Struthio camelus: one gene and its partners. The protein of the gene in region 1 purifies or fractionates together with the protein of each later gene. This does not show direct contact. Links are inferred from orthologs where the notes say so. Each region holds a gene or a part of one and is shown in the gene's direction. Other genes may lie near its edges. The genes, in order: ERLIN2, RNF170 and TMUB1.

Evidence for each region.
Region 2: the proteins of ERLIN2 (region 1) and RNF170 purify together in Homo sapiens (affinity purification with mass spectrometry; 4 studies listed by BioGRID and IntAct, counting the BioPlex papers as one, with this or other methods). This does not show direct contact. The link is inferred for Struthio camelus from reciprocal best matches to the Homo sapiens genes ERLIN2 and RNF170.
Region 3: the proteins of ERLIN2 (region 1) and TMUB1 purify together in Homo sapiens (affinity purification with mass spectrometry; 4 studies listed by BioGRID and IntAct, with this or other methods). This does not show direct contact. The link is inferred for Struthio camelus from reciprocal best matches to the Homo sapiens genes ERLIN2 and TMUB1.

Annotation. Positions count from the first base shown.
Region 1 is NC_090968.1:6,912,647-6,916,390, forward strand, and holds the start of ERLIN2 (erlin-2), read left to right. Parts: upstream 1-1,098; 5' UTR 1,099-1,155; coding exon 1,156-1,262; intron 1,263-1,372; coding exon 1,373-1,454; intron 1,455-1,617; coding exon 1,618-1,664; intron 1,665-2,431; coding exon 2,432-2,493; intron 2,494-3,458; coding exon 3,459-3,584; intron 3,585-3,744. UniProt on the Homo sapiens protein: Component of the ERLIN1/ERLIN2 complex which mediates the endoplasmic reticulum-associated degradation (ERAD) of inositol 1,4,5-trisphosphate receptors (IP3Rs) such as ITPR1.
Region 2 is NC_090982.1:12,001,402-12,005,145, reverse strand, and holds the start of RNF170 (E3 ubiquitin-protein ligase RNF170), read left to right. Parts: upstream 1-1,349; 5' UTR 1,350-1,479; intron 1,480-1,851; coding exon of another isoform or gene 1,852-1,908; exon of another isoform or gene 1,909-1,999; intron 2,000-2,091; exon of another isoform or gene 2,092-2,141; intron 2,142-2,144; exon of another isoform or gene 2,145-2,208; intron 2,209-2,745; 5' UTR 2,746-2,877; intron 2,878-3,744. Other genes in the region: HOOK3 (protein Hook homolog 3), read right to left, coding at 1,852-1,908. UniProt on the Homo sapiens protein: E3 ubiquitin-protein ligase that plays an essential role in stimulus-induced inositol 1,4,5-trisphosphate receptor type 1 (ITPR1) ubiquitination and degradation via the endoplasmic reticulum-associated degradation (ERAD) pathway.
Region 3 is NC_090943.1:453,590-456,593, forward strand, and holds TMUB1 (transmembrane and ubiquitin-like domain-containing protein 1), read left to right. Parts: upstream 1-983; 5' UTR 984-1,051; intron 1,052-1,207; 5' UTR 1,208-1,229; coding exon 1,230-1,642; intron 1,643-2,035; coding exon 2,036-2,390; 3' UTR 2,391-2,485; downstream 2,486-3,004. UniProt on the Homo sapiens protein: Involved in sterol-regulated ubiquitination and degradation of HMG-CoA reductase HMGCR. Involved in positive regulation of AMPA-selective glutamate receptor GRIA2 recycling to the cell surface.

The DNA of each region.
Region 1 (3,744 bases):
TTTAAAAAAATCTAATACAGGGTGTATTTCATCTCTGGCGCCCTTTTGCGCTTATTTAAGAGCTGTAAAATTTGGATTGACAAATATTGCAGGTATTTCATTCTTTATTTCTAAATGGTGCTGAATCCTTCTGACAGGCTTGTTATATATAACCCTAGGAGATCTATCAAGTGTAAAGATCAAATTATTCTATATTGACATTTTATATGTCTCTCTTATGTTTTTTAAGTCCCCTTCAACAATTATAGATGCAGAAGATTTAATATATTTTTGCATGGTCTGTCACTTTTCCGATTATTGCTCCTCTGTCTGGGCCAAACACGCATCCAAATAGGGAACAGCTTTTTTTAAACCGCCGGCAGCGTCCGCCTGTTGAGCCAGGAGGAGAGGCCACGATGGGCTGAGGTGGCCTGTCCCTGTGCCTGGGGCCGGGGCACCCCATGGGGCACGGTGCCGGTGTGCGAGCAGGGGGTCAGCGCGAGGGAGAATTGGGCTTTGGGGTGCATCCTGGGACACTGGGCATGGGGCATGGTGGCCTGTCCCCGTGCCTAGGGCCAGGGCACCCCGTGGGGCACAGCACCCACTGGCCTGCGTGCGAGCGAGGGGTCAGTGCAGGGCAGAACTGGGCTTTGGGACACACCTTGGGGGGCCTGGGGACAGGGCATGGCAGCCTATCCTTGCACCCAGGGCCAGGGTGCCCTGCGGGGCCGGGGGCTGTGTGCGAGCGAGGGGTCAGTGCAGGGCAGAACTGGGCCTCAGGGTGCTGGAAACCAGGCAAGGTGGCCGGGAACGGGAACCTAGGCCCGCACGAGGGACCAAGGCATCCGGGCCTGCCCAGCCAGCACCACCGGGGCGGGAGGAGCCGCCCAGGCACCGCGGGCAGCTGGGGAGCAGCGCCGGCCGCGTCCCCGAGAAGCCCCGGGGCGCCGGGCGGCGGCGGCCGGTCTCGAACCCGGGTCTCCGCGGCGGCAGCCCCGCAGCTCTGGCGCCCCCTGGCGGCGGCGGCGGGGGAGGGGGAGGGAGGCGGGGCAGGCGGGCGGAAGCGGGCGGGCGCGCGGCGATGGCGTCACGGCGGCGGCGGGCGGAAGCGGCGCGGCGCGCGGGGCGGCGAGCGGGGCGCGTTGCCGGGGCGACGCGCGGGGCCGGGGCCGGGCCATGGCCCAGCTGGGCGCCATCGCGGCGCTGGCGCTCAGCTTCCTGGCGGCCGCCTTCCTCTCGGCCATCCACAAGATCGAGGAGGGCCACATCGGCGTCTACTACCGGTGAGCGGCCCCGCGGGGCCCCCCGTCCCGTCCCGTCCCGTCCCGTCCCCGTTCTTCCCCCCCGCTCGGCGGGCCGCGCCGCCCCTGACGCTCTCCGTTTCCCTCCGCAGCGGCGGGGCGCTGCTGACCTCCACCAGCGGCCCCGGCTTCCACCTCATGCTGCCCTTCATCACCTCCTACAAGTCGGTGCAGGTGCTGCTGCGCGGCCGGGGCCTGGGCGGGGAGGGAGAGCGGGGGGGGCCCGGCCCGGCCCCGGTTCCCCCCCGCGGGCCGGCGGGAGCGGCGGCCCTCGCGGCCTCCCCGGCGGGGCTCTGGGGGCTCCTCAGCTTTGCTGCTGAAACCTTTCTCTCCTCAGACCACGCTGCAGACAGACGAGGTGAAAAACGTTCCCTGCGGCACCAGGTGAGCTCCGCTCTCCTCTCCCCCTCGGCTCTTGGTCCCTGCGGGGCCTTCCCCTCGGTTACGCGCTCCATCGCGCTTTAAAACGCATAACTCTGTCCTGACAGACTTGTCTTCCCTCCCTGGTCCTAGCTGAAAGCGCTGAAACCCCTTCTCTAAGCCCGTGCCCAAGCCGATGTGCGGGCGTCCCGAATGTCTCGGTGCCGCTTTCCCCCGAGTTAACGTAGACAACGCTGACAGGAGTCTCCGTGATCTCGTTCTTGATCTAGTTAAGTTTCTGCTGGGAACAGATTGCGTTTCAGCTGGTTTCAGAACACTTTCCGAGCCTAATCTTTCCTGTAGCGGTCTACGTGCACAACTCTAATACTCTGAAACTTGCATTCTCTGTTTTGCCAGTCTGAAAACTGAAGCGCAGGAAGGAAGTGAACAGCTCAATGTCTCAGGAGAGCTGCAACTAGGAAAAGGACTCAGGAGTTTGCATTTCCCTATGGTAGCCACTAGTAATTGGTCTTTTCAAACCTGGGCCCACATACTGTGATCCAGTTCCTAAAGGACACTTGTAGCTAAAACCCTGAGTCTGAGACGCTGAGCGGGATGTGAGGCTTTGCTGTAATGTCGCAGCGTGCTGCACTGAGGGCTGTAAATGTTGCACTCAGCCCACTAGAGGGGAGTGTCTTCTGCTCAGCGGCCATCTGGCTGCACAAGCAGAACGTTTGGCCACTAGTAAACTTTATTTTTCTTCTTCTTTTTTTTTAATCTTGTTTTTGCAGTGGGGGAGTGATGATTTATTTTGACAGAATTGAGGTGGTGAATTTCCTGATCCAAAGTGCAGGTGAGTTCCTCCCTTTGACCCTGCAACTCCTTGCACCCAACATCTGTGTGACTTTCCTTTCCCAGGGTTCTTTGTGCTCTGCTAGTGCAAGACAAGGTTAGGAGTTTGCGCATGCTTGTGCTGTGACTGATTTGGAGCTAGGGAGTACTGCTGGTATTCCTCTGTATACCTTGTAAAGCCCCTACTTCCTGGACTTAAACCTTTTAACTAGCTTTTCCAGACATTTGTGTGTTTATTAGTTCTTGCACACGCTTGTTCTGTGTTACTAATTGCTTCACTAATACCTGCATGTCATTATTACTTTTATTAGCCGTGTTATTACAGCTGGACTGGGCGTTGTGCTTCAGTGAAGAGCTTCTGTTTTGAATAATGACATGTGCAAGCAGTAGGGGAGACGGGGAGTCCGTGAGCAGAAGGCTGGCATCTGAGGCACAAAAGGAATGACCGATGCAGTCCTTTCCTCAGACTCTCCTTGTTAACATCCTGTTGTTTATGAGTATGGTCTTATTGCTGGGCTCATCAGCGTCCTGCTTTGGAGCCTCTGTCATACTGCAACTTCAGGATCCTCTCCCCCTGCTGTGCGCAGACCCTGCGGTCTCTCTATTCTGCAAGTCAGGCACGGTCCATGTGTGCCATCTTCCTGGCAGACATTTGCACATAGTGCAGAGAGGGCTGATATGACTTAGGTGTTATTCTTCTCACAAAGCATGTGACAACACTGGCTAGAGTGTGGTGTACTGTTAGCAATAAGTAAAACTCCCCTGTCAGAATACGTGGACAAAGCGCTCGTCTGCAGTGCAGACTTCTCTTCTCTGGTGGGTGCTTTCTTGTTTCGCTGATTGGCACTGCATCTCTTGCTGTTGGTGGTGTGACTCAGCCATAAGCTTTCTACTGCAAGCATTTAGCCCCACCTGAGACATCCTCTGCACCAGCTGTTAACACTGGTTTCACTTCTTCTTTTGTAGTATATGACATAGTGAAGAACTACACAGCTGACTATGACAAAGCTCTTATCTTCAACAAGATTCACCATGAGCTGAACCAGTTCTGCAGTGTCCACACGCTGCAGGAGGTCTACATTGAGCTGTTCGGTGAGCTGCGTCTCTGACCTGTGACACTAGCTCTACAGGCTCGGTGCTGGGTTGATGGTTCCTTGAATGATGTTTCTGATAGCTGTCTGCGTGGTCTGTTGATACAGAAGTTGCTACCCTGTAACCGACGGGCTTTTACATATTAGTTGTATCTGCTCTG
Region 2 (3,744 bases), on another chromosome or scaffold:
ATCACTTCAAATCGAATTTGAACACCATATTTTAAGTGAATATTAGAAGATTTTTAGTCCTGGAATCTTTTCAGACCTGATATAGACTTCTGTACAAATGCTGCATTTCAACTAAATATTCTCAGGCTATTAACAATTTTATCCAACCTGTGATTGAATAAAGGGTAGGATCAACAAGTTCAAATCACTGTTTACAGACCAGTAAATTACAGACAACAGAAAATTCAGTACCTATCACTCTGCAGCAACTCACATATTTCAAGTATATCAGTCCACATGCAGATGACTGGACTCCTAGCAAAGGGCTGGTCTGTTAGTTACTTCGAAGGTTAAGGAGTCAAGATAGCATTTGAGACTGGGACCACTGGCTAGGTTAGCGTTCATCTTATGCTTCTCCCAGCGATGTGACTACTTTATTGCCAAAGAGCACCAGAGGATCACACGTAAAACAGCTAAAGCACGCGAGCACAGGGAAAGTAGCGACACACGGCAACAGATCTTCCATCCACCCCCAATACAACTTATTTCCCCCCCCCCCCTCATAATGAGCCTCTTGCTTGGCCTTTCTTCACCAAGAGTCACACACATCTACTTCCTCATGAATTCCAACAGTAGGAGGATTCTCATTTCTTTCCCAATATCTGAAAAAGGAATCCTGGGAGCCCAAAGGCAGGACAAGTGGCCAATGCTTCTGGAAGGTGCAAGGACTGGCAGGGATGTGAAGGGAAGTGAAACAGAGTTACTTACTCTCAAGTTACTTATTCCATTTACGTGCATAAAGCAGGAGAGTAGCCATGGCATTGCATTATATACTGTTCCCCTAAGCCTCAGTCTTCTGTACATTCTGGGCCACCTGCTCACCTTCAACACTCAGTGAATCTTCCTGGCTTGTCCACTTTTGACTTTCACAGAAAAAGCTAAACTACCATTCCCCAGCAACTTACTCACCATCACAGTTTTATCCAGCTCCGACCTTTCACAGACTAAATATCTAGAAGAGTAAGTATATAGCTCTTTTCAACTGTCAGTCATATTCCAGAGTTGCACACAATGGGTATTTACTTGCCAATACTGTTAATGGAAAGACAACATCAACAAAAGGGAAAAAAAAAAAGAAAAAAAACCACAAATCCAGTGGCTCCAAACAGCTCACCGATGAATCAGCTGCTACAGAAAATGCCAGCTCCAAGGATATGGCACAGTCACCGCTCCAAACGTGGAGCAGCGCTTGCAAACCCCGGTCCCCCGTCCAGTAAGTTTGGACTGCTCTGCGAAGAACAGCGCAACCTGAACGCGCTCATGGACCAAAGCCCCAAGGTGAAGATGAAGTAAAGGTAACGGCAAGAGGAGGGGGGAGGGAAAGGGGGGGGGTGTAACCTTGACTTCACAGGTGAACGCCGCCCCTCGGGGCTCAAGGGGAAAAAGAAAAAAAAATAAAAAGAAGAAGACGAAACAGACGGGAAGAAAGAAAGTTTCCGGGTAAAAAAGGCTGCGGGGGGCGGGCGGGGCCCGGGCACCCCGCGGCGCCGCCGGTAGAGGCGCGGAGCCGAGGCAGCCGGGGCCGGGGGAGGGGGGCCGCTGCCCGCCGCGGGGCGCCGGCTCCTTTGTTCGGGGTGGGGGGCAGCGCCGCGGCCGGAGGCGAGGTGGGGTAGGGCGGCCGCGGCAGGGCTCGGGCCCACCGGCGGGCGGGGCGGCGGCCTTGGCGACGGCGATGGCGGCGCCCTTCTCCCCACCCCCCCCCCAACCCCAACCCGCTCCAATCTCCGCGGCGGCGGCCGGGGCGGGTGCACGGAGCCGTGTCCCCGGCGGGCGGCGCCGCTCCGGGCGCGGCGAGGCGGCCGCGGCACTCACCCAGGTGAGGAGGCTCTCGCCGAGCTCGGCCCGCTCCAGGCTCTCCACGTTGAACATGGCGGCGCGGCGGCGGCCGCGCGGGGCTAACGGCCGCGGCCCGCTCGCGTCGCGTCCTGTGGCGGCGCCCCCCTTTCCCCCCTCTCCCCCCCCCCCCCGCGTCCCGGGCCTGGGCTGTGGCGTCGACACGTCACCGCGACCTCCCAGGAACCGCCCGCGCGCCCCCAGCGCGCATGCGCCCCTGACGCGCCGCGCCGCTGTCGGCCGAGCCCGGCCGCGGAGTGGAGGGAGGGGTGGGGGGGGGGCCGCGGGGCGGGGCAGCGGCGGCGGCGGCGAGCGTCGCGCGCGCCGGGAGCTGAGGTACCGCCGCGCGGGCCGCGCCCCTCCCCCACGCCGCTGAGGGGAGGCGGCGGCGGCGGCGCCCCGACCCGGCCCGGCGGGGAGCCTTCTCCCTTCTCCTCTTCTCCCCTTCCCTCCTCTCGCCGTGCCGCCCTAGCCGGCGAGGGTGCGGAGGGGCGGGGCGGGGGGGCCCGTGTTGCCTGGCTGGCCGGTTGGCGGGCGGCGCGGGGGAGCCGTTAACGGGCGCGGGGGAGCCGTTAACGGGCGCGTGGGCGCTCGCGCATTGCGCAGGCTGGGCGAGCGCGGCCGGTGCCGAACTGTGGTGCTGGCGGTTACACAACACCGCGGGTGCGCAAGGCTGGCGCCGCGGTTAGCTTTTTTTTTGTTTTATTTTTTTTTCCCCTCCCCCTTTTCCCCTTCTTCCCCCAGCCCAGTAGCACTTGCGTGCCGACAAAAAGCAGGTTCCCCCGGGGGAGGGGGGTGGTCCTCTGGAGAGGCCCTGCCGCAGGCTGACTGCTCTTGCCTCGTTTCTCTCCCCCCCCCCCCCCGGTCCTGCAGCCCCGACGCGCACGTAGGAGCCGGCCTGGTGGGTCTCTGGTGGGTAGCGGGTAGGGCCCCGGCCTCTGCCGCTCTCTGACTTCAGCAGTGTGGACTGGTGAGGTTGCTGCACCCCAGGAAAGGCACTTGCTAGTAAGTAGTGCAGTCTGACACGTGGCAAGAGCAGCCTTTAAAAGGAGATTTCCTTTTTTTTTTTTTTTCCCCCTCTTCTCTCTGCTGTAGAAAATGACGTTAGCTCCCTCTCAGCAAAATGTTGCTATCATAAAAGTTAATCTATTAAATCAGATTAGTTGTGGATAACTCAATTCACGTTTAACCTTAATAGGAGATTATTTCTTGGCTAGTGTGGCTCTGCCTCCCTACTTCCTTGGCTAGAGGAGCTCTACATCAGACTGTAAAGGGGTTGCCTGAAGGGTTCAGCAAACTCGTTTTCAGTAATCAGCTGAATTTTGCCCCAGCTGAAGCTTCTAATGAGAATATCAGATGTAATATTAAGTTATACAGATCCCGGCTCATTAGTCACTGAGCTGGCATGTGGCATCATGGAGTAGCAAGCATGGTACGCTAGTAACGCGGACGAGAGTTGCATAAACAACCGAGAAAGAAAGTGTTGCGCATCTAAATACTGTCATTTTGTTCCTATTTTCTCACAGTTCTTGCATTAAATGAGCAAATAGCATGGACAAAATCTTGATATTACTTTATGTCAGCCTGTTTCAATTGAAAGTGTGTTACAAGAGCTGTGAAAACTCTCCCGCTTATTCAGAAAAGTATCTTCTCCCTGATGTCATAGCATAACCAGCTATTTTCATTTTCAAGTTTTGAATTCAGCCTCTTACCTTTTAAGAGCAGCTGTCAAATTGAGGAAGAAGGTTTAAAAGCCTTAGAAAACAAATGCAGTAATGTGTTTTGTTTTGTGTTCTGCTTTAGATATGAGATTGTATAAGGAAAAAAATGCATTGTGCAATAAACAATTGTTAAGCACTTTTCTTACAACAG
Region 3 (3,004 bases), on another chromosome or scaffold:
GGAAGGACAGAGCGCCCCGGGGGGGAAGGACAGAGCGCCCGGGGGGGGGAAGGACAGAGCACCCCGGGGGGGAAGGACAGAGCACCCCGGGGGGGAAGGACAGAGCGCCCCGGGGGAAGGACAGAGCGCCCGGGGGGGAAGGACAGAGCGCCCGGGGGAAGGACAGAGCGCCCGGGGGGGGAAGGACAGAGCACCCGGGGGGGAAGGACAGAGCACCCGGGGGGGAAGGACAGAGCGCCCGGGGGAAGGACAGAGCGCCCGGGGGGGGAAGGACAGAGCGCCCGGGGGGGGAAGGACAGAGCACCCGGGGGGGAAGGACAGAGCGCCCGGGGGAAGGACAGAGCACCCGGGGGGGAAGGACAGAGCACCCGGGGGGGAAGGACAGAGCGCCCGGGGGAAGGACAGAGCGCCCGGGGGGGGAAGGACAGAGCGCCCGGGGGGGGAAGGACAGAGCGCCCGGGGGGGGAAGGACAGAGCGCCCCGGGGAAGGACAGAGCACCCCGGGGGGAAGGACAGAGCGCCCGGGGGGGGAAGGACAGAGCGCCCGGGGGGGGAAGGACAGAGCACCCCGGGGGGAAGGACAGAGCGCCCCGGGGAAGGACAGAGCGCCGCACTCTGCAGCCCCGTGTCCCTGCCTGCCGGTCTGGGCCGAGGCCCGGGCACCCCCCGTGCTGGACCCCTCGGCCCGGCCCGGCCCGGCCGATGCCGGGACCCCAGAGCCGGCTCGGCCCCCCGGGGCACGGGGCCTCGGCGCGGCCCCCCGCCGCCCCGCTCACAGAACTACACCTCCCGGCATGCCCCGCGCGCCCCGCGCAAACCCTCCCCCTCGCGCATGCGCCGCGGAGGTCGCCGCGCCTCCCGGCCCGCCTTGCGAGCGGGCGGGAACTACCCGCCCCGAGAGCCCGTGCGCGGGGCGCGGCCAGGACTACCGCTCCCGGCATGCCGCGGGGCGGGGCGGAGCCATCCCGTCGTGCCTTGCGGCGGGGGCCGGTTCCCCCGGCCCGGGAGTCCGCGCGCGGGGCGGAAGTGGAGCGCGCCGGGATGGCGGCAGGTGAGGGGCCGGGGCCGGGGCCGGGGCCGGGGCCGGGGCCGGGGGGCGGCGGCGGCGCGGGCTGCCGCAGGGCGGCGCGCCCGGGAGCAGCGGGAGTGCGGCGGCGCCCCTCGGCGCCTTCCGCCGCCGCCTCACGGCGCTGCTGTGTGCCCGCAGGTCGGTAGCCGCCGCCGCCGCCATGGCGCTGATCGAGGGCGTGGGCGACGAGGTGACCGTGCTCTTCGCGCTGCTGCTGGCCGCCGTGGTGCTGGGGCTGGCCTGGGCCTCCACCCGCGCCCCCGAGCCCGCCGAGCCGCCGCGCGGCCCCGCGCCGCCCCGCGCCGCCCCGCCGCTGCCCGAGCAGGGCCCCAGCGCCGGCCCGCCCGGCGGCCAGCCCAAGGCGGCGGCAGCGGCGGCGGCGGCGGCCCCCGATGGGCCCGGCGGGCTGGCGGCGGGGCTGCGGCCCCGGGCCGGCCCCGGGCCCGCGCAGGACGCCCCCGGCGAGGCGGGCGACCCCGCCGACCCCACCATGGTGCTGCGGCTGAAGTTCCTCAACGACACGGAGCGCCTGGCCCGGGTCCGCCCCGGCGACACCGTGGGGGCCCTGAAGAGGTGAGGAGCCGGGCAGGCGGCAGCCGCCCCGCTCGTTCCCTGCTGGCGGCTGTCCGGTTTGCCCGCCCCCAGCCCTGGTTTCTCTTTCCTGCCCTTCCTTGAAGTCGCTGTGAGCTCGGAGCTGCTGCCGTTTGGGCTCGATCCTGCCCGTCTCGGGATACTCGGACAGCATGTTCTAGCGGGCACCTTTGATCCTAGCAGCATGTCTGACACGGCTGAGGGCAAAGCCTGGAGGAGGGGGGTGCAGCCAGGCTTCCCGCACTCAGGGCAGATGGCGAGCATGTTTGCAGCCTGGTCTGGGGTTGGGGGGGAAATACTAAGGCAGAAGGTAGATGGGAGGGACTGCGTATTGGTGGAAGCATGACGTTTCTCTCCTTGTCTTCTCCAACCCAGGGCCTATTTCCCAGGCCAGGAGCAGCAGGTGCGGCTGATCTACCAGGGCCAACTGCTGCGAGATGACGCTCAGAGCCTGGCTGCCCTGCACCTCACCCACAACAGCGTCCTGCACTGCCACATCTCCCAGCACAGCCCGGCCCCTGCGCCCACCGGCCCCCACACTTCTGCTGACCCCGTGCACACAGCCCTCAACGTGGGCAGCCTCATGCTGCCGCTCTTTGTGCTCATGCTGGCTGTGCTCTGGTACTTCCAGCTGCAGTATCGACATGTCTTCACTGCCACTGCAACCACCTTCTTGGCTGGCCTCACCTTGCTGTTCAGTTTCATGGCCTTCACCATGTACCGCAGATAGCATTATCCCTGCACCCCTGAAAGGATCCTACAAGCCCTCCTACCTGGGAATAAACTTTGTACTGGGTGCAGTTTGCCCACTGCACCTGAACACGAGGGGGAGTCTGGGCTATTGACTACGTCTCCTGGTTTTTCTAGGGGGACTGTGTAACAGACTCGCCGGATCTGAGGGAGTCCGATCAGGGCTTGAGCCCTGACGTCTAGCCTAGGAGGTTGGCAGTCTGTGGCCCGTGTTCTGTAGTCCTTTGGCTCCTTTCTCTTTATGGCAGAGGGAGAAGGGGTGCTGCTGTAAGGGAGTCCCTACCTGGAGCCTGGCAGTGCTAGTTCTGTGCTACTGCCGGAGCCTTAACTGTTGCAAGTGCAAAGTGTTGTGCTACCTCTGGGGAGGGGAACTACTATATTGCAAGGAGCAAGTTCCTCTCTAACAGGAGGGGTTGAGGTGTCTTGAAGTGGTCCTGTTGGCCCCTGCTAAGAGGAATCCTGCTGTGCAAATGGAGCCCGTCCAAGCTCACCTGCCCCCATCTGCTGTTTGCACGTGTTTTGTGCGCAGGCTGGGTGCTCCTCTTCACATGCTTGCTCATCCACAAACTTGTGTATGGTGTAAGCGCTCTTGGG